Linked DNA regions of Mus musculus. The protein of the gene in region 4 interacts with the protein of the main gene of each other region in a biochemical or structural test. Links are inferred from orthologs where the notes say so. Each region holds a gene or a part of one and is shown on either strand. Other genes may lie near its edges. The genes, in order: Zfyve9, Mecom, Tgfbr1, Smad3, Jun, Nedd9 and Cebpb.

The links.
Region 1: the proteins of Smad3 (region 4) and Zfyve9 form a complex in vitro, tested with the Homo sapiens proteins (2 studies listed by BioGRID and IntAct, with this or other methods). The link is inferred for Mus musculus from reciprocal best matches to the Homo sapiens genes SMAD3 and ZFYVE9.
Region 2: the proteins of Smad3 (region 4) and Mecom form a complex in vitro, tested with the Homo sapiens proteins (2 studies listed by BioGRID). The link is inferred for Mus musculus from reciprocal best matches to the Homo sapiens genes SMAD3 and MECOM.
Region 3: the proteins of Smad3 (region 4) and Tgfbr1 form a complex in vitro, tested with the Homo sapiens proteins (2 studies listed by BioGRID, with this or other methods). The link is inferred for Mus musculus from reciprocal best matches to the Homo sapiens genes SMAD3 and TGFBR1.
Region 5: the proteins of Smad3 (region 4) and Jun form a complex in vitro, tested with the Homo sapiens proteins (3 studies listed by BioGRID). The link is inferred for Mus musculus from reciprocal best matches to the Homo sapiens genes SMAD3 and JUN.
Region 6: the proteins of Smad3 (region 4) and Nedd9 form a complex in vitro, tested with the Homo sapiens proteins (2 studies listed by BioGRID). The link is inferred for Mus musculus from reciprocal best matches to the Homo sapiens genes SMAD3 and NEDD9.
Region 7: the proteins of Smad3 (region 4) and Cebpb form a complex in vitro, tested with the Homo sapiens proteins (2 studies listed by BioGRID and IntAct). The link is inferred for Mus musculus from reciprocal best matches to the Homo sapiens genes SMAD3 and CEBPB.

What each region holds. Positions count from the first base shown.
Region 1 is NC_000070.6:108,637,840-108,641,339, forward strand, and holds part of Zfyve9 (zinc finger FYVE domain-containing protein 9), read right to left. Parts: intron 1,582-3,500; coding exon 1,420-1,581; 3' UTR 1-1,419. UniProt on the Homo sapiens protein: Early endosomal protein that functions to recruit SMAD2/SMAD3 to intracellular membranes and to the TGF-beta receptor.
Region 2 is NC_000069.6:30,506,960-30,511,059, forward strand, and holds the start of Mecom (histone-lysine N-methyltransferase MECOM), read right to left. Parts: upstream 2,801-4,100; 5' UTR 2,508-2,800; coding exon 2,471-2,507; intron 1-2,470.
Region 3 is NC_000070.6:47,391,222-47,394,721, reverse strand, and holds part of Tgfbr1 (TGF-beta receptor type-1 isoform 1 precursor), read right to left. Parts: intron 1,476-3,500; coding exon 1,233-1,475; intron 1-1,232. UniProt on the Homo sapiens protein: Transmembrane serine/threonine kinase forming with the TGF-beta type II serine/threonine kinase receptor, TGFBR2, the non-promiscuous receptor for the TGF-beta cytokines TGFB1, TGFB2 and TGFB3.
Region 4 is NC_000075.6:63,649,995-63,653,494, reverse strand, and holds part of Smad3 (mothers against decapentaplegic homolog 3), read left to right. Parts: intron 1-869; coding exon 870-1,014; intron 1,015-3,109; coding exon 3,110-3,233; 3' UTR 3,234-3,500. UniProt on the Homo sapiens protein: Receptor-regulated SMAD (R-SMAD) that is an intracellular signal transducer and transcriptional modulator activated by TGF-beta (transforming growth factor) and activin type 1 receptor kinases.
Region 5 is NC_000070.6:95,049,423-95,053,593, forward strand, and holds the start of Jun (transcription factor AP-1), read right to left. Parts: upstream 2,801-4,171; 5' UTR 1,850-2,800; coding exon 845-1,849; 3' UTR 1-844. UniProt on the Homo sapiens protein: Transcription factor that recognizes and binds to the AP-1 consensus motif 5'-TGA[GC]TCA-3'.
Region 6 is NC_000079.6:41,314,002-41,317,501, forward strand, and holds part of Nedd9 (enhancer of filamentation 1), read right to left. Parts: intron 3,015-3,500; coding exon 1,773-3,014; intron 455-1,772; coding exon 365-454; intron 1-364. UniProt on the Homo sapiens protein: Scaffolding protein which plays a central coordinating role for tyrosine-kinase-based signaling related to cell adhesion. As a focal adhesion protein, plays a role in embryonic fibroblast migration.
Region 7 is NC_000068.7:167,687,740-167,690,932, reverse strand, and holds Cebpb (CCAAT/enhancer-binding protein beta), read right to left. Parts: upstream 2,019-3,193; 5' UTR 1,912-2,018; coding exon 1,021-1,911; 3' UTR 501-1,020; downstream 1-500. UniProt on the Homo sapiens protein: Important transcription factor regulating the expression of genes involved in immune and inflammatory responses. Also plays a significant role in adipogenesis, as well as in the gluconeogenic pathway, liver regeneration, and hematopoiesis.

The DNA.
Region 1 (3,500 bases), on a different chromosome or scaffold from region 4:
GTTTTGAGTCTATTAAATCCAGCTCATAAAGAAAGGGCCATGCTGAAACTAGAAAGTCATTTTACAGCTGTCATAGTGAAAGAGCAGTGCAGGCAAGAAAACATCAGTGGTGCTAAACCGAAGGGGAATTTTGAGGAGCAAGATCTTTGCATAGATTGAAAAGTTCTGCATATATTAGTTATTACTAAAAGGGTAAATACATAGTTGGGAAACTGGACATGGTGTACTGGTGATAATGAGCTTTGCCACTGTCTCTGAAAGGCAGATGGATATCAAGTGTTTCTGGCCAATAATCCAAACTCAAATGAGGTATTTTCTACTAAAACCAAACAAAAATCCAGGATGTGAGGGCCCAAAAAAAAAAAAAAAAATTCCATGCCACAAAGAGATAAAGACAAGCTTAAAGCTATGTGCAGCGTCTGATACTAAACTGGAAAGTTCTCTGTTGAAGAAAGGTTCCCAAAGGTTCTGGGCAGGTATGAGGTTAGAGCCTCCAGACACTGTGACTTGACTTAAGGATGAGGGGCTGTACTGTATGCACCTTAATCTGAAATACCTCAGTTTAATAGAGGAGGGGAAGACAAGCACTGACGAACCAAAGGGGCAAAGTGCTAGTGTGTGAGCGTGTGCGTCCGTGTGTGTGTGTGTATGCGTCCCTGTGAGCGTGTGTCCGTGGGGCTGTAGAAAAGACGCCTTGTTTTTTTTTTTCATGTACAACTTTCCTGGAGTTTAAGAGATTTCTTAGTAAAATGTTCTTTAAAAATACTTCTAGTGTGTAGTAAATAACAATGCCCTGGGTGCCCATTGCCAGCTGTCACTCAGCTTCTCTATCCAAATGCCCTGGTTTATACTGAGTTACCTTCCCTGGCTAACAGACCAGAAACCCCTTTGGTTTGATTCAGTTAGTAATCTGAACAAATAAACACGAATCTAAACATGACAAACAGCTGGGGGTGCAACCAGGATGATCAGCATAGCGGTCTTTTTATGCCAGTTCTGTACAGGAAGTACAAAAGTGACGATTCATTGTTTATTTCCTTTCTGCCCCCCATTGTGACCTTGGTGATGGTTGTGCCCATATGAGCATTCATCTGAGCACATGACCGGAAGTAATCATAAGAGAGGAGCAGAAGTCTTGTCTAGACAGTAACAGAAGGGAGTTAGCTGCAAAGATAGCATATCTGTTGTGCAGTAAGAAGCTGCCCGGGTCTTCTTGGAGAATGCATAGAAGACTTAGAATCATGGAACATCTGTCCCCTACCACCCTCCCCACCCCATCTCCCCTAAGTCCTATTCCCACCCCAAACCCTCCCTACTGACAGTGTTAACAAAAAGCTTAATCTTCCAGTTTTAAAGTGCAAATGATTTGGATATGACTGCTGCTGCAACAGGTCTGAACAGAAACAATGGAGTCCTCATCTATGCGATGTTTTCCAGAATATAAAAGATGAGTTCCATGACGACAGGGCCTTCACTGAGCTGGCAGGCTCCTCCATGAATGACAGGCACCAAGGCACTGTCCAGATCGTTCATGTACTGCGAGGGAAGGGGCTGGCCATTGCTCCCTGCTTGATAGCCAACCTACCACAGAGAGAAAGGGATGACAGGTTACCGGGCAGGGATCTCTGCAGAGGGCTGAACCAAAGAGGCCAAGCAGGGAATACCACACCCTTTGCCATGAGCCCAACACAATGATAGTGCACACAAATTCTTTTCTTTTTACTAGTTTATCATCTTCTATCTACCCTGGCTACTTGATAGCTGTAAGACCTTTGGCTAGTCCCTTAGTGTGCTAATGTGTGTTTCCTGGGAAGAGAAATGGTGAGTCAGATGATAATCCAGGCTCTGGTTGTAAAGTTAAAGTGAGGCATATAACAAACAGCATCAACTCCAGCCTGTGCAGTCATCAGAGCACTGTATTTTGAGCAACTGAAAACAGAAATTCAAATATAAAAGGCCCTTTCCCTCAAGAGGGTCACAAATTTAGCAGAAAAATGCTTGCTATCCAACTGTCCCACGGGAGGGGCCTCTCTCCAGATGCTATCAGTACTGTGAGGTGGAGCAGGATACCTCAGTACTGTTTGTTACACAGGTAGACTTTTGATTTTCCTAACCTGCATTTGATGTATGTGTATGGGTGCGTGCATGTACCATGGTACATGTGCCACGACATGCATGTCGAGATCAGAGGACAATCTTAGGAGTCAGGGTTATGGGGACAACTTGCCAAGCTTGACAGCAGAATGGATGCCTTTACCCACTGAGCCATTTTGCCAGCCTGGTTTTTGTTATTGTTTTATTATTGCTGTCTTACGACAGGGTCTCATCTCAAACTTGATATGTGGTAGCCAAGGATGATCTTAAGGTGGTTTTTTTGTTTTTGTTTTTGAGACAGGGTTTCTCTGTATAGCCCTGGCTGTCCTGGAGCTCACTTTGTAGACCAGGCTGGCCTCGAACTCAGAAATCTGCCTGCCTCTGCCTCCCAAGTGTGTGCCTGGCTGATCTTAAATTTTTTGTTCCTTCAGTCTCCACCTCTGAAATACTAAGTTACCAGTGTGCCCCACTGTGCTCAGTTTCTGTGGTACTGAGGATCAGTTCCAGGGCTTCATGCCTGCTAGGCAGGCACTCTAACCTGAGCTACATCCTCAGCCCCAGATAAGCCCCTTGCAGCTTAGGACAAGACCCTAAGTGAAAGTAAATACTAGCTGATGATGGCCAGTGAGGAAATAAAGCCAGACACAGAACCTTTTACCCTGCCCTGGTCAGGTATTTAGTTAAATTCTGCAATAAAAGGCCAGATTCCCCCCATGTACGTACTCAGGAGAGAAGCGTCTCTGTGGCAGAATTAATTACTGACTCAGAGCCCACACTCACTTCTTCTTGAAAAAATAAACTTATTTTATTATTATTTTTTTTAATGTGTGTATGACTGTTTTGTCTGCATGTATGGATGTGCAACATGTATGTGCCTGGTGCCTAAGGAGGTCAGATCCTCTAGAACGGGAGTTAAGGATGGCTGTACACCACCATGTGGGTGCTGGGAACTGAACCAAGGTGCTCTGCAGAGCAACACGTGCTCTATAGGTGAGCCATCTCTCCAGCCCCTCCCACACGCATTTCTAATGACTTGGCACTAGCAACATGTAAGCATCCAATGCAGGACTAAAGACACAGGAGCGAGATTCTAGGAAGAGGAACTGGGGTGTAGGAGGTGAAGACTGAATTATTAATATAAAGAGCACATAAAAACATCAAGCCAGGGGTTGGAGAGATGGCTCAGTGGTTAAGAGGACTGACTGCTCTTCTGGAGGTCCTGAGTTCAAATCCCAGCAACCACATGGTGGCTCACAACCATCTGTCATGATATTGGATACCCTCTTCTTTTTTTTTTTTTAAAGATTTATTTATTTATTATATGTAAGTACACTGTAGCTGTCTTCAGACACTCCAGAAGAGGGAGTCAGATATCGTTAGGGATGGTTGTGAGCCACCATGTGGTT
Region 2 (4,100 bases), on a different chromosome or scaffold from region 4:
TGCCACGCGCAGTTCGGCAAAAGGAAATAGCGCTTTAAAATACAAAAATCCGTAGTTCTGATATGATTTCCTTTATTGCTCAGACGGTAGCTGGAAAACTGCACTACGCGGCGCCCGTGTCTCTGGAAGGCAGCCGCAGAAGCAGTAAAAGCCCCGCTAGTGGGAACCTGGGGCTCAGCAGGAAAAGTTCCTAAGGCTGGGGTCCTGCTCTCTAGAGAGCACATGGGCATCCTTACCCCACACGAGACAAAAATCAATGTGTCTCACATGCGGTGACTGACAAGTCTCATCAGATCAGAAAGGAGGCTCAGCTTCTGGACTCAGTAGTGGGCTACAGGGTGTACAGCTTGCTTAGCAATTAAAATAGCTAAGGCGCGCGGGGGCGGGGGCGAGCCTTAAGAAAATTCGAAAGGTTTTGCGTTCAGCTTTCGCTTCGTCGGATGCTGGGCAACCAAGCAGGGTGAAAGCCTTAGGCTTTCATTTCACAACTTACTGCTCGGTTGAAACGATCTCCCCGCCTCCTCTCAAATACACACACACACACACACACACACACACACACACACACCCCTAACCTTTGAAGTCTCAAAGCCATCAAGCATGTGTACATTTATTCCCTCTCAGAAGAAAATAAAGACTCAGTGAAAAGCCAACAGGAAAAACAGTTTCGCTGGCGCACTTTACACTGTTGCAACGAAGTGAAATGAGCCGTAGGAGCAGAGAAAGAAGCCGGCTGACTGACCGAGGAGGCCGACTGACGGCCCAGTATTTAGGTTGATCTCTGCGACCCGAGTTCCAAGAGAAAAGATGCCGCTAGAGCGTATGTGAGTGCAGGACACGAGTGCGGAGTGGCTGGAGCACTGGAAAGACGCCCGGGAGGACAGCGTCTCGCCGGGCGTTACGTTGCATTCCCCACACCGGGAATGCCGGGGGGCTACGACTGTAGCCGGCGCCGCTGTGCCAGGACGCGCCCGGTGGTGCTGCATGGAGCGCCTCCAGCCCTAAATTCCAATGTGCAAGGGATGGGGGGGTACGCTTGGGGACTTCACTGGGGCAAACATACTATCCACATCCTATCTTTAGTCTCTCTGGTCCGAAACAAAACAATTAAGAGAGTTCGAGATTCCTCAAGTCCAAGTGTGAGAGGCATGGGCGGCCTGGCCGGTCCTTTCCCGAAGCAGCTCTGATGTCCGAGGGAGTAAGAAGGCGGCAGGCTGCTCGTTGGGCCCCCTTCAACGCTGGGCAGAAGCATTTGAACAAACCCACCTCAGACTCCTACTAGTCCCTGCTAAGCAACCCTTCCCACCCTACCCTGTCCTGGAGTGTCACCCAAGCCTTCCCTGAAAGCGTGGGGGATGGTAGTCTAGTCCCCCATAGCCCCAAACCCCACTACCCTAGTCCCGCGTGACCGAGGCTGCTCCGCTCCGGGCAGACAGAGGGCGCCGGGGAGGACGAGTGACCCGGGACCCCGGCTGCACCCAGAAAGAGAACGGCAGGCTGAGCTGCTCCCCCTTGGTGGCCCCGAGTTCCGGCAGCCCGCCCCCTGGGGGTCACTCGGCGCCCTGCCAGCCCGGGCTTCTCGGGTCGGAGCGCGCCCTCCTGGCCTTACGGAGCAGCGTTCTCGGCTGGCCGCGCGCCCTCCACGCCCGGGCCTGAGAACGCCGGCGCGGCCTCCGCTCTCCCCACCTGCCGAGTGACTCTGCGGAGCCGAGAGCTCGGCGCTGCCGGGGTTCCCCCCACCCATCCCCAGGACCGTGTCCCCCCCGGCCCCCCTGCCTCCCCTTCCCCAGGGCTCCCGCCGCGTCGCACACGCCGCCGCGTACAAGGACCGAGCGCACAGCGCCCACTACCGCAGCCGCGGCTAGGCGCAGCGCCGATCGCCCGCGCAACTTGCAAGCGGCCGCCTCGCAACTTTTCCCAACTCCATCGCGGCCGGCTGCGGCCACAGCCACCGCGGCTCCCTCGGAGCCCGCCACCCGTCCCAAACCCCAGAAACAAACAGAGCTTCAGAAAGGCGCCCTTCCCCTGCCCGCCCCCCCCCCACCCGCTTCCCCCCTCCTCCCGCTCCGGGAACTAGCTGGTTGGCCAGAGGCGACTCTCCCCCGCCTGGGGGGGGAAGGGAGGGGAGGGGGACACACTCTCCTCTCCCCCCACCCCTTCGCGCTCACTCGCGCGCGCCCTCCTCCCTCCCTCCCAGCTTTTTGCTGCCCCCACCCCCACCCCGGAGTTGCCACAGCTGGTCCTGGTGCGGGGCTCAGGGCTACCGCGCTTCCACTGCGCCCAGAGCAGGAGCCAGGGCGCGGAGGCAGGAATCGGCAGGTTGCTCCGGCTGCCGGCTGCGCTGTGCCTGCCTTCCACCCCAGGCCCCCCGCGCCAAAGCAGCCCGCGCTCTCTCCCCGTGCGCTAGACACAGATACGCAAGATGGCAGAGAAGGGGGGGAAGCCAATAGAAAAGGGATATTGCACCTACTTGTGGCCAGTTTCCTTGCCCTGCCTTTGGATCTCATGCTGTGCCCAGTCCTGCAGCCGCTGCTGGGTGGTTAGGTTTTTTTTTTCTTGGATCTTTTCCTTCTTTTGCTCTCTCTCTCCCCCTCCCTTCTCTCTCTCTCTCTCTCTCTCTCTCTCTCTCTCTCTCTCTCTCTCTCCTCTGTCTCACACACGCACACACACGCACACACTCGGTCTTTCACTCTCTCTCCCTCCCTCTCTCTCTTTCTCTCAATCCACACTCGCTATCTCTAGCATTGTCAGTTTGGACACCTTCGCACATGCGCGTTAGACGCCCCTCCAACATCTCAGCGCCGCCAAAAAAAGTTTGGAGCGATTTATCACTTTGATTTGGAGATCTTGTCAGATGGCAATCGCCGAGGAGGCGGAGAAAGGGAGCTACGGGGAGGGCGGCAGGGGGCGGGGAGCGAGCGCGGGGAGCTGGAGGGGAGCAGACACTTCGCCCAAACGGGAAAAAAAATAAAAAGAAAGAAAGAAAAAGAAAAGAAATGAAAAGTCTTGGACAGAGAATTGATTCGTGGGGCAGAGGACTATGTCTGTGTGGGAGTCAATAAGCCTGCATTATAATTATTATTAATGTTTTCTCCACCATAAATTACATTGTCTGTAGGGGAACCGAGCGGAGGAGGGAAAAAAAACTTTAGGATAAATCTTTCCGTCTACACAAGAACTAGGCTGAGGACTGGACCGTGAACGTGTTATCAGAAGGCGAGAAGCATCTTGAACTTCAGAGCTCTGCCCTTGCTGCCGCTCTCTCCTTCTGAAGTTCCTGGGGCTTCCGCTTTGGATGAATAACCGGTTCTCGATTTTAGCTGTAATACCAACGGTAGCTGCCATCCTAGGAACATTTCAGTAGTCTGTTTCCATCAAGTAGCAACAATCGCCCTTGATGCCCAGGTCCCGCCGGGCTGAACATTTGACATCCAAGACCTCCTGCCTTGCCTAAGGTCGGCCGGCACCTTCCGGCCTCCTGCTGCTACCCAGCCCGCCTGCCATTTCCACTCACTCACTGAAACCTACAACCTCTGGGGTCACCAGAAGGAGGAAGGGGGGAAATTCCATACGCATACCTAGAAAATACAAAACGTACATTGTTGAAATGTGCCTAATTACAGAATTTACTAATGAAGTGTGCAGGCAGAAATGAAGGCGCAAGGGGTTAGGTGTGTTCAAGGTATGAATCACTCCCAACTCAGTATGGATTTTTCTTAGTACAACCTTCTTGCATTAAACAGTTGTGTTCAATACCTTCCACGTGCTATTTATGTCTCCATTAATATCTGCTGCAAATCCTGCCAGACACCATAAAAGAAAATTGCCATCTTTTCCGTGCGGTGCTGCTACCATCCTAAAACTCAAGTCGGAAGAAGCAGGAAAGTCCTGGTCTCTCCTCTGAGAGAGCAAGGACGAGCAGGGTTGTTGGGAACTCAGTTGCACCTGTTGGTATTCATTTAGTTTGAGCTCAGACTGCGGTTGTGAGAGAGCGAATATCTAGGTTCAATTCCCAGGGGCTTCGGTGGCCAAGCTTACAGGACCTACCTCATCTAAGAATACCCACCACCTTTCCCTCCCCAGAGCTGTGTAATTCCAGG
Region 3 (3,500 bases), on a different chromosome or scaffold from region 4:
AAAGAAAATATCAAATAAAAATGCAAGTTATAAGCTTAAAGACAAACAAACAAAAACAAAGAGGAAATATGAACTGACCAAAGTCATAGAGCATGTGTTAGAGTCTAAACCTATTGATTGCTAGCCACACATCAAATTCCAAAATTGTTTTTCTTATAATTTACTTATGTATTTTATACATATAGGTATTTTGTCTATATGCATTATCTACACATCAGAAGAGGGCATTGGTTCCAGAGATTAGTTAAAGACAGTGAGAGCCAACATGTGAGTATTTTGATTTGAACTCAGGACCTCTGGAAGAACAGCAGTGCTCTTAAGCACTGTGCCATCTCTCCAGCCCTAAAGTCCAAAACTGTAAAGGAGGCACACTTCTCTTAGTCTTCTTCCAAACCACAGACAAGGGAAAAAAAGGTATTTTCTCTTTGGTCTAAAAGCAAAATACTATTATGCTAAAATCTATTTCAGCATGATCCTGACAATCAGCCAGTCTACTTCTGAGTCCACAAAAATCAACAAACAAAGCCAAGAAAAACAAACATTCATTCACAGGACTACTATTTTTGTTTCTTTGTTTGAAATTTTCTTTTAAATGTAAAAAGTTACTAAAGATGCAATAGTTTAATTTTAAACAATAAACGAGACTGGTCTGATCATCTGCCACCAAGCCTGCTAACACGAGTTTGTTTCCCAGGATCCATACAGAGGAGAGAGAGAACTGACTCCTTCAAGTTGTCCTCTGACTTCCACATGGATACTGTGGTTGGCAGGCATGTGTGTGCAAACACACACACACACACACACACACACACACACACACACACTTTTTATTAAAACAACAATTTTGTATCATGTTAAAGAGGCTAATCAGCTTCCAAATTCCAGAACAGTCTCAGAGCTGCAGAATGGCAGATGCATCTTTTAGCTGCAGCTCTATCTTTGTAAGAATGGTGTCCAACTTTCTACCTCCCAGGCTCAAGTTATATAGGGGAGGATGTGTGGAAGCCTATACATCTGTGACTTGTTTCAATGGTAAAACCAAGTTCCAATTTATCTATATTAAACTATCCAGTCAGACAGCAAGCTCAACAGTTTTCAATAGGCTGCAATCCTGTATAGTACTCATACTATTCCAAAGTTTTAACAAATTAAGCCAAATGCCCCAACCAACTAATTAAATAAAATAGGAAAAATGAGTTAAGACTTAAGAAAAAGGTAAACAATAACATTACCTGATCCAGACCCTGATGTTGTCATATCATAAATTAAATCTTTTAAGGTGGTGCCCTCTGAAATGAAAGGGCGATCTAGTGATGGATCCTCTTCATTTGGCACACGGTGGTGAATGACAGTGCGGTTATGGCAGATATAGACCATCAGCATAAGTGCAATGCAGACGAAGCAGACTGGACCAGCAATGACAGCTGCCAGCTCCACAGGACCAAGGCCAGCTGACTGCTTTTCTGAAAAAGGTCCTCCAATGAAATAAACATCAAGAGAAACAAAACACTGTAGGTGGCACTCACAGTTCCCAAACCCTCCATATCCCTCCACCCCCACCCCCGTGTCCACTACTATCATTTAGTCACACAGGGCTTCCCTCCCTGGTCTCCTTTGTCAGACCATCAGCTGTCAGTACCCTCTCACTCTTCCTGAGTATCCCCAGCCTATCTTATAGTTCACCATTGGGTTCATTAGCTAAGCCCCTTCTAGACCTCCTTCCCCACTTGTCACCTCAGGTAAACAAGAAAAGTAAACAATTATTTGAAACAACTTCTAATAACTCATTTTTTTATAAAGCACTTTGGTCTTTTCTTCTTATTCCAAGTTTACTGCAGGATTATAGCAGAAGAAATATATATAAATATAGTTAATAAAGTTTTTACAAATTATCAACTTCCTTGCAAAGCTTCAGACTCATATTTTATTATATACTTTTCCACCAACTATTTTTTTTAAGATTTATTTATTCATTATATGTAAGTACACTGTAGCTGTCTTCAGACACACCAGAAGAGGGCGTCAGATCTCGTTACGGATGGTTGTGAGCCACCATGTGGTTGCTGGGACTTGAACACTGGACCTTTGGAAGAGCAGTCGGGTACTCTTACCCACTGAGCCATCACACCAGCCCTTCCACCAACTTTTTAAAGCCTAAGACTTCCTTTGTTTACTTTTGTTTTTTATTCTATTTGCTTATTTATAAATTTTTAACTCTTTCCCTCAATTTTTTGTGAGACGGGGTTTTATCACCATAGTTCATCCAGGCTGGTCTCAAATTTGGGATTCTTCAACCTCTGCATTCCAGCACTGGATATTAATACATTGTGTATGCACATCCTTTCTAGACTATTTTGCCAACTGTATTTTTTTATTAGGTACTTTACGTACATTTCAAATGTTATCCCCTTTCCTACTTTCCTCTCTGAAAATCCCCTATCCTCTCCCTCCTCCCCCTGCTTCCCAACCCACCCACTCCCACTTCCTGGCCCTGGCATTCCCCTATACTGGGGCATAGAACCTTCACAGGACCAAGGGCCTCTCCTCCCACTGATGACTGACTAGGCCGTTCTCTGCTACATATGCAGCTAAAGCCATGAGTCCCACCATGTATTTTCTTTGATTGGTGGTTTAGTCCCAGGGAGATCTAGGAGTACTGGTTAATTCATATTGTTGTTCCTCCTATGGGGCTGAAAACCTCTTCAGCTCCTTGGGAACTTTCTCTAGCTCCTTCATTGGGGACCCTGTGCTCCGTCCAACAGATGACTGTGAGCATCCACTTCTGTATTAGTCAGGCACTGGCAGAGCCTCTCAAGAGATGCTATAACAGGTTCCTGTCAGCAAGCTCTTGCTGGCATCTGCAATAGTATCTGGGTTTGGTGGTTGTTTATGGGATGGATCCCCAGGTGGGGCAGTTTCTAGATGGTCATTCCTTCAGTCTCTGCTCTGAACTTTGTCTCTGTAACTCCTTCCATGGGAATTTTGTTCCCCCGAAGGATTGAAGTATCCACACTTTGGTCTTCCTTCTTTTTGAGTTTCATGTGTTTTGCAAATTGTATATTGGGTATTCTGAGCTTCTGGGCTAATATCCACTTATCAGTGAGTGCATATCATGTGTGTTCTTTTGTGATTGGGTTACCTCACTTAGGATGATATCCTCCAGACACATCCATCTGACTAAGAATTTCATGAATTGTTTTTAATAGCTGAGTACTAAGTATTCCATTGTGTAAATGTACCACATTTTCTGTATCCATTCCTCTGCTGAGGGGCATCTGGGTTCTTTCCAGCTTCTTGCTATTATAAATAAGGCTGCTATGAACATAGTGGAGCATGTGTCCTTATTACAAGATGGAGCATCTTCTGCGTACATGCCCAGGAGTGGTATTGTTGGATCTTCTGGAAGTACTATGTCCAATTTTCCGAGGAACCACCAAAATGATTTCCAGCGTAGTTGTACCAGCTTGCAATCCTACTAGCAATGGAGGAGTATTCCTCTT
Region 4 (3,500 bases):
CACAGCTGGTGACGGCTAAACTGGCCCTGGTAGTGTCCTGTTAGCTCAGAGACTGTTAGGGCTCTGATAACCAAGCCTAGCTTCCCCCACCCCCAAAGGAGATGGTGAGTCAAGAGAAGCAGAACAGAGTCACACAGCAAATGGGGTCTCTGCTAGTCCACCGGCTACTGGACACGGACTCTGGCCTTTATCTTCTGGGTCATGCAATCCTGGCACTTGGATAGCAAGACTTCAAACAGGTTTATTTTCAGTGTTATTAGTGCCTGTCTCTAGCTATACTATGGAGAATTTAGATACACTTTGTTGTTAATGTCACCTCAGACCAAGCCTGTATCCGGAGGCTACCATGTGACCCAGCTATCTTCCCCAGCCCGAGCATGAGACAGGGCTATCTGGTGGAAGGTGCTCTGACCCTCTGCAGAGCATCCCTATGTTAGCAGGTCCCATGCCCACCTCATTGCCATATGCCCTGCTACTGTAGCAATGCAGGAGCACCTGTCCCCAGGTGGCTACCACACAAGGTATTGGAAACCAAGCTCAGGTGCCCTGCCTCTCTGAAGCCTAGGGTTCTGCCTCAGCCTCTCCAGGCCATACCTGTATCACCTGAGCCCACTTCCAAGCTTCCTTCTTGGCATCCCAGCATCTGGAGGTGGCTCCTATAGGCCGGCCTGTAGCATCCCTTGCACATGCATCTCCCTGCTAAGGGTGTGCAGATCAAGTGTAGTAATAGAGAAGGCCTATCCTTGCATGGTGATGAGCTCAGAGCAGATAGCCACTGGGTGGGACCGTAGTATGCCACTTGAGGTGTGTGAATCCAACTGTTCGGGTGGTCCTGGGATTGGCTTATCTGACTTGTCTATGGTTGGCAGGCTGCAACCTGAAGATCTTCAACAACCAGGAATTTGCTGCCCTCCTAGCTCAGTCTGTCAACCAGGGCTTTGAGGCTGTCTACCAGCTGACGCGCATGTGCACCATCCGTATGAGCTTCGTCAAAGGCTGGGGAGCAGAGTACAGGTCAGTGCCTAAGCTGCCTTTAGTGGTGGTAGAGGGAGCCAGCTCTAGGCAAGGCATGACAGCCAAGGATAGCGTCACAGCCTTAGTCTAGTGCTCAGCAGCTCTCAAGCACCATCAGCATTTCTAGGCCCACTGTGGGGACGCTGGCATTATTCTTGTAGAGATATGGAGGCTAAAAGCTTATGGAGAGTCAGGTGGAAAAGACAGGTCCAGACTTGGCCTCTCCTGGGCTGCTGTGTCCTCAATTTCCTTGGGATGGATTCTCAGGATGACTGTCTTCCCTGACAAGGAAGGAGATTTGAGTGTTTTATAGAGAACAGCTAATTCATGTATATATTTTCATTTAAAGAATGCCAGTTAGCACTTTAAACATGGCACCAGTAATAGCAAGGTCTACCTGGTCTGCTTGGTTGAGGCCCCTCAGGCTGTCTAGACTCAGTTTAATGAGAAGGCAGTCTCCTTTTCCCATGCTGGACAGGAGAGGTCTGGGAGGCAGGGCCACATGCCCTTCTGCTCCATGCCTCCTCCCTGGCCCCCAGAGTGGAGCCGCACAGAGGTACCCACACGTCAGCTGCAGCCAGCGCCTTGCAAGTTCCTCGCCCCTTCTCTTCATTTTTCCAGATGTTTGGAATCGGTTTTGTTTTGCAGTCATTCTGCACCCCAGCCAAACCCATTTCAATATTGGCTCCGGGCCACCGTTTGTAATGAAACCCCGATGAGCATGACTTATGGAAAGTCAGATTCTCAGCAGAGGACGGAGGTCTGTAAAATCTAACCTCGCTGTCTAGGTTTCAGAGCTGTTGCTCTTTCACGGATGCCCCATGGTGCCAGTGAGCAAAGTACCCTGGGCCTTTGAATCTGAGATCCAGGGAGGGTCACCAACAGCTCAGACTGCAGAATAACTCCCAGCCATGCTGTGGTGACCCGGCCCAAAGGTCTGGCTGGGCAGATGCCTGAGCCAACCTTTTAGCCCAGGATTTAGATCATTTAGGGAATCAGAGTGAAAGGTTAGAAAATTAATTCTTTAACGCACAAACCCCGAAGGAAAAGAACTGGGAGGCCTGCTTGCCTTCAGGCAGGGGGCCCAGGCTGTGAACCTCCCGAACTGTTCAAGCAAAGCACTTGAGGCTTGAGGGAGGGTTAGCCTCGGGATGATGGCCCCAAAAGTGGTACAGCACCAGGGCCGCCCATCTTCAAAGATTGGCAGAAGCCCCTCTCTAGGGCACTGTATCACCACGGAGGAAACCCTGCCAGCACACCCCGTCCTACCCGGCTTACTGCGTCACTGCCGCCTGGCAGCATAGCACGGCAGGCAGCCTAGTGGCGGGTGCGGCCCCTTCCCAGAACAGCCATGCCCTCCTGCATTGTGGGCCAAACAGAGTAAGGTTTCAGGCTGGTTCTTTAAAGCAGCTGTAAGCGGGCCTGCAGCCTAGGCCTCACCTCCAGCTGGCACCCGTATGTCGCCACAGCAGATAGCCTTTGCTCGGTGGAGGCTTCTGGGAGCTTGCCTGTGAGCTGCGTCACCAAGCAGTCTGAATTTAGACAAAGTGCTTTGAGGGAAAAGAAATGTGTGGTGTGCCTTGGTTTTTCCAGTAATTGTTCCCCGGCTAGCTCTGCTGGTAATATTTTCCAAAATAAGCCGTAGATGGGATTATAGCAGCACCCTGGGACTTGAAGCATGTGGCCCTGTCAGTGCTTTGTAAAACGCCCTCCATCAGACAGGCATGTCATGACAGCTGCGGGGCTGGCCCAAATCTGGAAGGGGGCTGCAGGCACCTACCCAGTGGCTAAGCTAGGAACCAGGGAGACCTTAACTCAGGCAGGAGGTTCTACATGGGGGCTTCTCCCGGTTCCTGGAAACCGACCTTCTTTAAATCTTTGAGGTCCTCTCCCTCCAGCAGAACCCGACTTACACAAAGCCCTCCCAGGAGGACTGGTCTGGTTCAGCCACATTTGCTAGTACCACCTCTAGGCACTATTTACCTATCTAGCACAAAGAGAGATCTCTGTCTCGGGGTAGCAGAAAGCAGTGTGGTAACTCAACTTGTGTGTGTCCTCAACATTTTAATCTCTCACCTCTTCCCTCTTCTTCCAGGAGACAGACAGTGACCAGCACCCCCTGCTGGATTGAGCTACACCTGAATGGACCCTTGCAGTGGCTTGACAAGGTCCTCACCCAGATGGGTTCCCCGAGCATCCGCTGTTCCAGTGTGTCTTAGAGACACTAGGAGTAAAGGGAGCGGGTTGGGGAGGGCGGGCTTGGGGAAAATGACCTTGGAAGAGAACTCCATCCAACTTGGTCTTGTCAAAGAACACCGATTCCACTCAACTAAGGCACCAGCCTGTTTCTGAGACCACAGAAGAAAACCCCAGGGATGGATTTATGAACAGCTGTGTCTGCTACATACACGTGCCCCTGTCTGAAGGCCAAGTGATGGCTTCTGTTCTGGTGGCTTGAACTAACAGGTGGTGTATCGCCACCTGAC
Region 5 (4,171 bases), on a different chromosome or scaffold from region 4:
TTCCTACAATCAGACAGGGGACACAGCTTTCACCCTAGTATATTGGGCACTCAGCTGTCACTTCATCTAGCTATCATTATCTATGGATAATGCAGCAAAGAGGTTGGGGGCTACTTTTCAATAGTTTATTGTATTTTCTTAAATATCCTTTCTGGAAATTTTCAGAAACAAAACATAAAAAAATTATATACTTTATTACAAATGGTAAACTCAGAATGCTTCAAATCTCTTATTTACAAACACTGGGCAGGACACCCAAACAAACAAACATGGAATAACTTACAAAGGCAGGAAGCTGTTTATTGACAGTAATCAGCTTTCATCAAATTAAAAAAAAATATATATGTACATACACAGTTGAGAGAGGCAGGCCAGGGGAGTTCATCTGCAGTCTAGCCTGGCACTTACAAGCCTCCCCCCCCTTCCCAGCCCTCCCTGCTTTGTGTTAAGGAGCACTACAGAAGCAATCTACAGTCTCTATTGCAGTTTGTAACCCCTCCCACCCCCCTTTAATACTGAATGAGATCGAATGTTAGGTCCATGCAGTTCTTGGTCAATGTTAACGAAAAGTCCATCGTTCTGGTCGCGCGCGGGCACAGCCCGTCCGCAAAGTCTGCCGGCCAATAGGCCGCTGCTCTCTGGCTCCACGCCAAAGCCAGGCGCGCCACGTCCTTCCCACTCCAGCACACTGGGGGCGCCGTCAGGTCGCAACCCAGTCCATCTTGTGTACCCTTGGCTTCAGTACTCGGACACTTTTTTTTTCTCTGTCGCAACCAGTCAAGTTCTCAAGTTTGTCTCTGTTATTTTTTTTCTTCCATTGCCCCTCAGCCCTGACAGTCTGTTCTCAAAACGTTTGCAACTGCTGCGTTAGCATGAGTTGGCACCCACTGTTAACGTGGTTCATGACTTTCTGCTTAAGCTGTGCCACCTGTTCCCTGAGCATGTTGGCCGTGGATGCCAGCTCGGAGTTTTGCGCTTTCAAGGTTTTCACTTTTTCCTCTAGCCGAGCGATCCGCTCCAGCTTCCTTTTCCGGCACTTGGAGGCGGCAATGCGGTTCCTCATGCGCTTCCTCTCTGCCTTGATCCGCTCCTGAGACTCCATGTCGATAGGGGACAGGGGCGGCGTCTCTCCCGGCATCTCCGGCACGGTCTGCGGCTCTTCCTTCAGGGCTTGCAGCCGCGGGTGCTGCACCGGGATCTGTTGGGGCAAGTGGTGCGGCGGCTGAGGCGGCTGCTGCTGCTGCTGCGGCTGCGAGGGAAAGGCCAGCCCGGCCGCGCCATAGGAGGGCGCCCCACCGCCGCTGCTCAGCGCACCCGGGTTGAAGTTGCTGAGGTTGGCGTAGACCGGAGGCTCACTGTGCAGGCTGGCGCTGTAGCCACCACCGCCGCCAGCGCCTGCTACTGAGGCCACCGCGGGAGCCACCATGCCCGCCCCGCTGACCGGCTGTGCCGCGGAGGTGACACTGGGAAGCGTGTTCTGGCTATGCAGTTCAGCCAGGGCGCGCACGAAGCCCTCGGCGAAGCCCTCCTGCTCGTCGGTCACGTTCTTGGGGCACAAGAACTGGGTGGGGGTCGGTGTAGTGGTGATGTGCCCATTGCTGGACTGGATGATCAGGCGCTCCAGCTCCGGCGACGCCAGCTTGAGCAGCCCGACGTCGGGCGACGTGAGAAGGTCCGAGTTCTTGGCGCGGAGGTGCGGCTTCAGACTGCCCACCGGGTCGGCCAGGTTCAAGGTCATGCTCTGTTTTAGGATCTTAGGGTTACTGTAGCCGTAGGCACCGCTCTCGGACTGGAGGAACGAGGCGTTGAGGGCATCGTCGTAGAAGGTCGTTTCCATCTTTGCAGTCATAGAACGGTCCGTCACTTCACGCGGGGTTAGCCTGGGCTGTGCGCAGAAGTTTCGGGGCCGCAACAGCGCGCCGGGAAGCGGGGGGATACCCGCGCGTCCCCGCTTCTGTAACAAAGTTTGTTTAGGAGCGTGCGCTCCAGACGGCAGTGCTTCCCCCTGAGCCCTCCTCCCCAGTTCGCTCCAGGGAGCGCAGGGTTAAGACTCCGCTAGCACTCACGTTGGTAGGCTCCCGCGCGATGCCGAGCTTTGAAAAGTCGCGGTCACTCACGGAGCGCTCTCGGGGAGCAGCGGTTCCTTGGAGCCCGCAGACCAGTCCCAGCAACAGCGGCTCTCCGGCGGTGCTGACCAGTCGTCACGGAATTCTCGGTGGAAGCCCGCGATCGGGCTCTGCCGCCCGGCCTCCGACAACTGTCCCCTCCTCCGCTGTGAGGGGGAGGGGGACGCTAGGCAGCCGCGGCTAGCGCTCGCCCAACTTCAGCCGCCTGTGCGAACTGGTATGAGTATAGGTTCCTCTTCTCCCTTTTCTTTACAGTCTCGGTGGCAGCCTTAAGGCGCAGAAGAGATTTGCAAAAGTTCGCTCCCGGCCACTTGTTACCGGTCCTCTGGGTCAGGAAAGTTGCTGGCCGGTAGCCGCTCGCCTATTTCCTCGCGCGGTCGGGAGCCGCTCTCGATGCTGTCAGCAGCGCCCGGACTTGTGAGCTTCTTCTCCGTGGAAGGCGGGAGAAGGGACTCTCCAAATGCTCCCCAAAATACCGGTGCAGGAGCCGCGGGCGCTGGATCCAAGCAGTTGGTGAGAAAATGAAGACAAACGGATGAACAGTCCGGAGTCCGCGGCCGACCGGGTTGGCCAAGTCCGTCCGTCTGTCTGTCTGTCTGCCTGAGCGCTCTCCTGCCAGGCTGTCTCTGCCACACTCAGTGCAACTCTGAGTCCTTATCCAGCCTGAGCTCAACACTTATCTGCTACCAGTCAATCCCTAAAAATAGCCCATGATGTCACCCCGAGGCTTTCCCATTGGCTTGCGTCGTTCTCAGGGGGGCGGGCCCACCCGTCGCCATGGAGACCTCACCCTAGAAGATTCTTCTCTGGGCCCGCGAAGGCTCACGGGATGAGGTAATGCTCCGCTGCGCTCCTACAGTTGGGCCCTTCTTTCTCCTCCTCCCCCCCCCCCCTCCCGCGCTCAGCTTCGGCTTGTGTTCCCGGGTTCCCTCCCCGGCGCGTCTTTCCCGGCCCGCCCGGTGCATTGTGGGCTGACGTCTTGGTTTGGCTGTCTAGTGACGGAGGCTGCCGGTCGGCAGGACCCTTGCGGAGTCTGTCGGAGGCGGGCTCAAGTTCAGGGCTGGGGACTGGGACCGAGACGCGGGGATCCAGAAAGCAGGGGAGGCGCGCTAGTGGCCGGGGGCGGAGAGCTTGGGTGGGAGTGAAGGTTGCACACAGGCGCGCGCCCGCGCGCGGGCACACACACACACACACACACGCACGCACGCCCGAGAAAGGGCTGAATGATCTGAGTGACTGAAGCTGGCTCCGCACCCCCGCACTTCCGGGGGACAGAGCGATGCGGGTTAAAAGGGTTGTGTGCGCCCTGGGTGTGGGAGCACGTAAGTGCGTTGAAGTTGAGCGGGTTTGAGAGTAGCCCTCCAAGATGAGTATGCTTGGAAGTTTAGTTTCGGAGAAGGATCTGCGCCGCAGTGTGCTGTACCTGGAAACCAGAGATTTGCGGTGTTCGGAACCGACTCATCAGGGTCCCCGGCACAACACTTTATTCTCTGGACGTGCCGGGGGAGGGGTGTTCGCTTTGCCTCCGAGGGACCCCTCCTCTAGGTGTGAAAGATGCTAGCCCAGCGCCCATGGGGTGTCGAAAGCAACATATAAAGGTTCGAAACTCAGGAAACCTCGGCGATCGCCTGCGCTAGCACATACACACGGTCCCGCGCACACTCAGTCTGCGCCCGCCCTTCCTCCCTCCCTGATTTGCTTCTGGGAAAACAAGCCTTGAGAGCTGCGGACTCGCCCCAAGTCACGGTGCTTAAGCAGGAGTCCCTGGTAGAAACAGGCTGAAAACTCCCCTCCCCGCTCACTGGTGGAGTCATATCCTGTGCGGCCTCTAGGAAGCGCTAGACACATGTAAGTTATTTCTTTTCTAAGGTTCTGCTATCAGCCCTCCACCCTCCACCCCTCAGGACTAAAGAGGTGGCAAGCTTGGTTCTCCCAGGGCATAAGGGCAAATCTCAGAACTTCTCTGAGCTTTATTGGTCTCATCTAGAAGTAGAGCGAATGAGGTCCACTACACCGGGCTGCCAGGCATTAGTTTTGACTCTGAG
Region 6 (3,500 bases), on a different chromosome or scaffold from region 4:
AGTCCTTGCTTTCTTTGGTTTTGGTTGCATCTCATTCCCTGGAATTCCCTTATTTGGCCTCAATGGAAAACCAGTTAGCTTGGGCTTGCCTGACTTGGGTCTTGTGTCTTGAGACTGAAAGCTTTAAACCAAGTACTCCTAACGGGTGATAGATGTGCAGGCACAGTCTGAACAAACACTGCCATTTGGATGCAATCCAGGCACACTCAGCTGTAGTCATAGGCCACACACCTTCACTTTGTTCTCTTGTCCTATTACATGCCTGGGACTTCCTTCTTCCTGCCAGTGTGCCGGGAGGACCCCAGGCTTTGGGAGCTCTCCGTTCCCTACCAAACGGTGTGCTGTCTGCTGTGTTCAAACCTACCTGGTGATGCTCCAGCTGCGCCTTACTCTGCTTCATGATGTTCTCCTTTTCCAAGAGCTCCTTCTGCTGTCGCTCAAACTCCTCCTTGCCCTGGTGTGTTCAAAACAAAGACAGTATTACCTCCTTGCTGTGAGACACTTATGGGGACAGTTTCACTGACAAGTATACTCAGACCTTTATTATCCACTGGCCACTTCCCTCATGTCCAGTTAGACATTGTAAACCAGAGATTAGCGACTTCTGGAATTGCCATGGAGATAGGCTGAAGAGTAAAGCCTGTGTCCGTGTGGGCCACCACGGTCACTGCTAGCTCCAGTTGAAGAGCTTCTGAAGATTCCCAAGCATTCTTTTTCCATGGCTCTTTTAAAATAGATTGGATGTGAACCATGTGCTTCCAAACAAAGGTTAAAAAAAATGGGTGCATAGTTCACTTCTGATTCCTTTGACTATTCTGCATCTCTCTACCCATCCTTAGTATTCTCCAGTCTACAGCATCAGAAGACCAGTGGAATGTTAAATGCTTTCCTCTAACCTCGGCCAATCCTCAGCATGAGATGTGGTTCAGTTGATCCTTTCTACTCTCTTGCGTCTGGGGGCTGCTGGTATTTTAATCGTTTTCAGCCTAACTCATGGCTCTCAGTCCAATGGAAAAGAATGGCCGCCTAAAGCACTAAGCCAAACACAAAGGCATGGATTATGGTAGAGTGTTGGAATTCTTCAAAGCAGACAGGGAAGCCTTCAGGGTTCCAGGTCCATTTGGGAGCTAGCACAGTTTATACTCATAGGAAGCAGTTTGTGGATTTTAACATAAGTAGGTCAAGCTGTTGGCCACTTGGCAAGGGATCACAGGGTCCTCTGGATCTGATGGAGCTCTGTGTCTTTGTAAGCAGCTAAACATACACACATACACAGACACACAGACACACATACACATATGCACACACTGTAGGCTGAAAGAGTACCTTAGAAACTCTCTATGTACATATATTTCCAATAATTTCTAAAAAATTAACAGTGATATATATTTAAACTTATTTCTGTTATGATGAGCTGTTCCATGAACCTGTGCCATAAAAACACAAGCCGAGGGAGAAGTGATTCTATGGCTGATGGACTCACCAGTCAACAACATTGATGAGTCTCCTCCAGCTTTCCTGAGGTGTATCAATGAGATGTCATACAACCATGTGAGCTAAATTAATTCTCAAAATAAAATTAAGGTCCAGGGAAGTTAGACAAAGTGGCTGTACATTTTTTTGGACAACCTCACCCTCAGTTTTCACAACAGTTAGATTAACATGTTTTGCTATCGGTCCAGCTCACAGCCTTATGGACATCAGCCTCCTATCGGTCCAGCTCACAGCCTTACGGGCATCAGCCCCGAGTCTGGGTGGTTTATAGGTCTTACCTGTAGGTGAACATAATCATAATCATCCATCCAACTCCGCTCAGAACCGTCACTGCTACCGCAGTCTGGTGGCTGGTCCTTGCTTAGACTAGGAGGCAACGGCTTACTGTGGACCTGGGCTTTGTAGTCACCAGGATGCAGTGGCTGCATCTGGGAGCCCGGATGTGTGTACTCGCTTGAGTTCATGATGCTGTTGGGCCCATTCTTCAGATGGGAATTGGCAGGATCTGCTCTAAAGAGGGTCTCCGCGTAGGTGCTGATGGTGGTGGTCAGTTGTTTGGCGTCGTCTGGCACTGTCTTGGCGACCATCACAAACCGGTCTAGGTCATCACACTTATTTTGGGGCTTATTGATAGCTAAAATATTCAGGGACCAGCTGCATTCATTCAAGTCATGGCTGGTTTGGCTTAGAATCTGGTGGGAATCTTCTACTCTTTGGAGTTCCCGCTTCATTTTGTTGTGGAGGACCAGTTCTGGGAGGCAGGAGGCATTGGCTAAAGCTCCCTTGGCAAAATGGAGGTATTCTCGTAAGAACAGCTCTACTTTGTCCACCGCGGTGCGGATCTCATTGATGTGCCTTTCCATGTATCCGTAGCACCTCCAGTCTGTGGTGACCAGTGACATGAGGCTGCACACACCCATCTCCAGGGTCTGCTGGAGCCGATAGAGCTTCTCTATGGCTGTGTCTGGGTCCAGTCGGAGCCTTTTGTCTTGAGACGGGGAGGCTGACAGTGAAGACTCCTTTGAGGAGGTGGAAGAGGTGGACATGTTACTCCTGGTACTGCCAGTGCTGGAGAAAGACAGTCTGTTGATCCCATCTACCACGTCCCGAGAGCCTTTGGCATCTGCTGGGTTGTGCAGAGGGACATCGTAGACACCGTCTCTTTCCTCCGGATTTGCCTTTTCACTGGTTTCTGTTGGTACCTCCAGAAACTGAACTCCCCGGGGGACATCATAGGCATCACTCTGAGTGTCCCCAGACTGTCCCAGCTGAGAGGGTGCATGGTGCAGGGAAAAGCTCTGGTGTCTTCGTGCCATTGGTTCGACACCTCCTGGAGCATCACAGGGGAATTTGATGTGAAGGTCCTTGCCTGCTGTCTTGGTGCTGGTTGGAGGGATGTCATAAACCCCCTCAGGTCTGGTGTCTGGTTTTCCATCTTGCTTCATTGGAGGAGGGAAATCATATTCCTTTTCCCTGAGCCCTGCCTCATCTCGGCAAGCCGATGGTGGAATGGCATAGACCTAAAAACGTAAGTAAAAAGCCATTTTATTTGTTCAGTTGAGACTTTGATGGAGGCAGAAAGTGAATAGCGTGGTCCAGAGTTCACAGCACTGTTCGTTCCATCTTCTTCCTCTCCTCTCATCATTTACTACCTCAGATGTTTCCCAGCATGCAGCATACTCCTTAGAGGATGTATGCCTTTGTCCTATTACCTGAGCATTCTTAACCATTCTTGTTGCTAGCTTGGGTATAGAGCCCTCCCTCCTAGCTAAATTGCTCATCACTGGGTTGCAGTCTCATGTTTCTAACCATTCACTGACTGTCCTACACAAACTGATCTATGCTGAGAGACAGAAGACATTGATACACTGGGCAGAGGGACCTGTGTTCCATTCTTGGTCATCAGGCTGCCTGTGTGTGTGTGTGAAGCTGCCTGGGTCTTCTTTGTATTCAAAGGCACAGTCCCCTATCTGTTCAGCAAAGCTAACTGCACTTGCAGTGCAAGC
Region 7 (3,193 bases), on a different chromosome or scaffold from region 4:
AGAAAGGGAAAGCAGAGTAGGAAGTGTTCCCTTCACCTTCCTCTCGGCCCAATCTCTCTTCCAGCTACACAGGGACACAGACACCAAACAGGCGTGCGGTCTCCCCCACACCACCAAACACACAGAACTCACCTGCCCTGACCCAGCTGTCTGGACTAGCCTTTCCTACAGAATGTCTAGTCCTCTCAACACAAGTCTGACACTCAAACCAAGCCGAGGGCGGCCCGTCCCAAGCAGGGTTTCTAGCAAGTCCCCCAGCACCCGTGGGTGCTGAGTCACCCTGAATTCCTGACCTGGCACTCTGCCCCCTCTCCTGGGGGGAGGGGCTGACACCCCATCTGCCATGGGAAGAGAAAAGCCCAGATGCGACACCCCCACCCACCGCCACACACAACCCAAAAATAACCCGCAGCCCCCTACACACCAGAAACACAAAAACAAAATCTCGCATAAATCCAAAGTCGGGAGGGAAGAAAAAAAATTTTTTTTCAAAAGCCAACTACTGCCCCCAAAAGGCTTTTAAACATTCTCCAAAAAAGTTTATTAAAATGTCTTCACTTTAATGCTCGAAACGGAAAAGGTTCTCAAAATATACATACGCCTCTTTTCTCATAGAAATAGAACTTTTTTATATAATACAAAAAAAATAATAAGACCAAAAAAAAAAACAAAACAAAACAAAAAACAAAAACAAAACCAAAAACATCAACAACCCCGCAGGAACATCTTTAAGTGATTACTCAGGGCCCGGCTGACAGTTACACGTGTGTTGCGTCAGTCCCGTGTCCACACGCGCTCAGCCACGTTTGATCCGGATTGCATCAAGTCCCGAAACCCGGTGCGCTGTGCAGGTGCGTGCGCGCGGTGCCCGCGGTGTGCCCGCGGTGTCCCCTCGGTGCAGGTGCAGGTGCGCGCAGGGCACGCACGGTGGTCCGGGCGCGCGCGCGGGGCCGGAGCGCGCGGGGCAGGGCGCACGGTGCCCAGGGTGGCCGCGGCGCCCCCCACGCCACCCGCGCCGCGCTAGCAGTGGCCCGCCGAGGCCAGCAGCGGCTCGGGCAGCTGCTTGAACAAGTTCCGCAGGGTGCTGAGCTCTCGCGACAGCTGCTCCACCTTCTTCTGCAGCCGCTCGTTCTCCGCCGTCAGCTCCAGCACCTTGTGCTGCGTCTCCAGGTTGCGCATCTTGGCCTTGTCGCGGCTCTTGCGCACCGCGATGTTGTTGCGCTCGCGCCGCATCTTGTACTCGTCGCTCAGCTTGTCCACCGTCTTCTTGGCCTTGGCCTTGGCGGGCGCGGCCGGCGGCCCCGCGAAGCAGGCGGCGGGCGCGGCCTTGGCGTCGGCGGGGCTCGGCGTGCCGGGCGGGCTGGACGACGACGACGTGGACAGGCTGCCGCTGCTGCCGCTCGGCGTCGCCTGGTAGCCCAGGTAGGCGCGCAGGGCGAACGGGAAACCGGCCGCCATGGCGGGCGCGTCGTCCGCGCGCTTGCAGTCCGCGGGTTCGAAGCCCGGCTCCGCCTTGAGCGCGGCGGGAGGCGGCGGCGGGAAGCAGGCGGGCGGCGCGGCCTTGGCGCCCGCGCGGCCGAGGCTCACGTAACCGTAGTCGGCCGGCTTCTTGCTCGGCTTGGCGCCGTAGTCGTCGGCGAAGAGGTCGGAGAGGAAGTCGTGGTGCGCGGGCGCGGGCGCGGCGAAGTCCGCGGCGGGCGCGAGCGGCTCCAGGTAGGGGCTGAAGTCGATGGCGCGCTCGTGCTCGCCAATGGCCGGCTCGGCGGCGGGGGCGCGCGGCGCGGCGCGGGCCGCCTTGGCCCCGTAGGCCAGGCAGTCGGGCTCGTAGTAGAAGTTGGCCACTTCCATGGGTCTAAAGGCGGCGGGCGGCGGCGGGAGGCATGCTGCGTCCCAGGCCAGCAGGCGGTGCATGAACGCGGGGCCCGCGGGCTCCGCTGCGTCCCGGTCCCGTGCGCGGCTCGGACTCGGCGCGGCGGCGGCCGAGCGGGAGGTTTATAAGGCGGCGCCTGGCAACGGGCTGCGTCACGCTGGGGCCCCTCCCGCCGCCCCGCCACCCGGTCGGTGCGCGTCATTGCCCGGCCACGGGAGCGCGAGAGGGCGCGGCGGGGAGTGGGGCGCGGCGGGGGTCCTCGCGCGGGAGGCTGAGCGGTGACCCGGGCGTCCCGCCAGCCCCGCGATGGCCACGGACGCGGGTGACGCCAGCCCGCCCCCTTCCCGCCCCTCGGGAACACGGAGGAGCGCGGCCGCCGCCCGCCCCCTGCTGGAGGACGCGGTGGCTCGTCCCGGCTCCGGTCCGCTGTCCCGGACCCCCAACTCTTGGGAAACAGATCGTTCCTCCAGCTACACGACCCCAACCCTCGGATCCTGCCCGCTGTCCCCGGGCCCCAATTCCCTGGAAGCAGCCTTCCACGGGGTGCATGTCCTCCCACCCAGGTGCTGCCCACACCTCTGGGACCCCCCCCCCAACTCCTGGGAAGCAGAACTCTCCAGGTGCACGCCCACCCCGGGGATGCTCGCTGTCCTGGATCCCAGCCCTCCACCCTATGTATGGCCCGCCTACCGCACCTGCCTACGCCACTCCCTGCGCCTCTCCATGAAGGTGGCAGGGCTGGGGGTTCTGCCACACTGTGTCTGGGTGAGTCACTTTGCTTCTGAGTTCCCTCCGTGGACAGTGTTGGTATTGTTAGTAGTGGTGTCATCAGAGACAAACGGACCCCCGAGAAGTACGATGCCTTCCTAAGACCTGCACAGCCCTGCCCAGAGGCTTCTCAGGTGATTGCGGTGGGAGCATGGTAGACCCCACTCCAGCCATAAGGACCCAGCGGTCACCCTGCAAGCTGGGGAGGCAACCCCTCCACCCCGTGCACTTGAATGGGCTGGGATCACCAGCCTCTCTCCGGTGAGACCCTTTTGAGGACGCCCAGGGCAACTCTTGGGGCCCACCCTTCTGCCACTCCTAGGTGGGCCACTCAAGCAGGAGCTGCCAACCTGTCAGGGGCTGACCCCCGACCCATTGACCCCAGCCCTGGCCCCGGCAAGCTGGCGGGGTGTTGCTCAACCTTCGGTGTTATCTGCTGAGCTGGGGTGACCTCCGCCCCCAAGAGCTGGAGAAATGACATCTCCCTGTGCCCTTGGGGGTGGGGGGCAGGGAGGGAAAGGGTAAGACGCTAGCCCTGCCTGCCTGCGGCTTTCT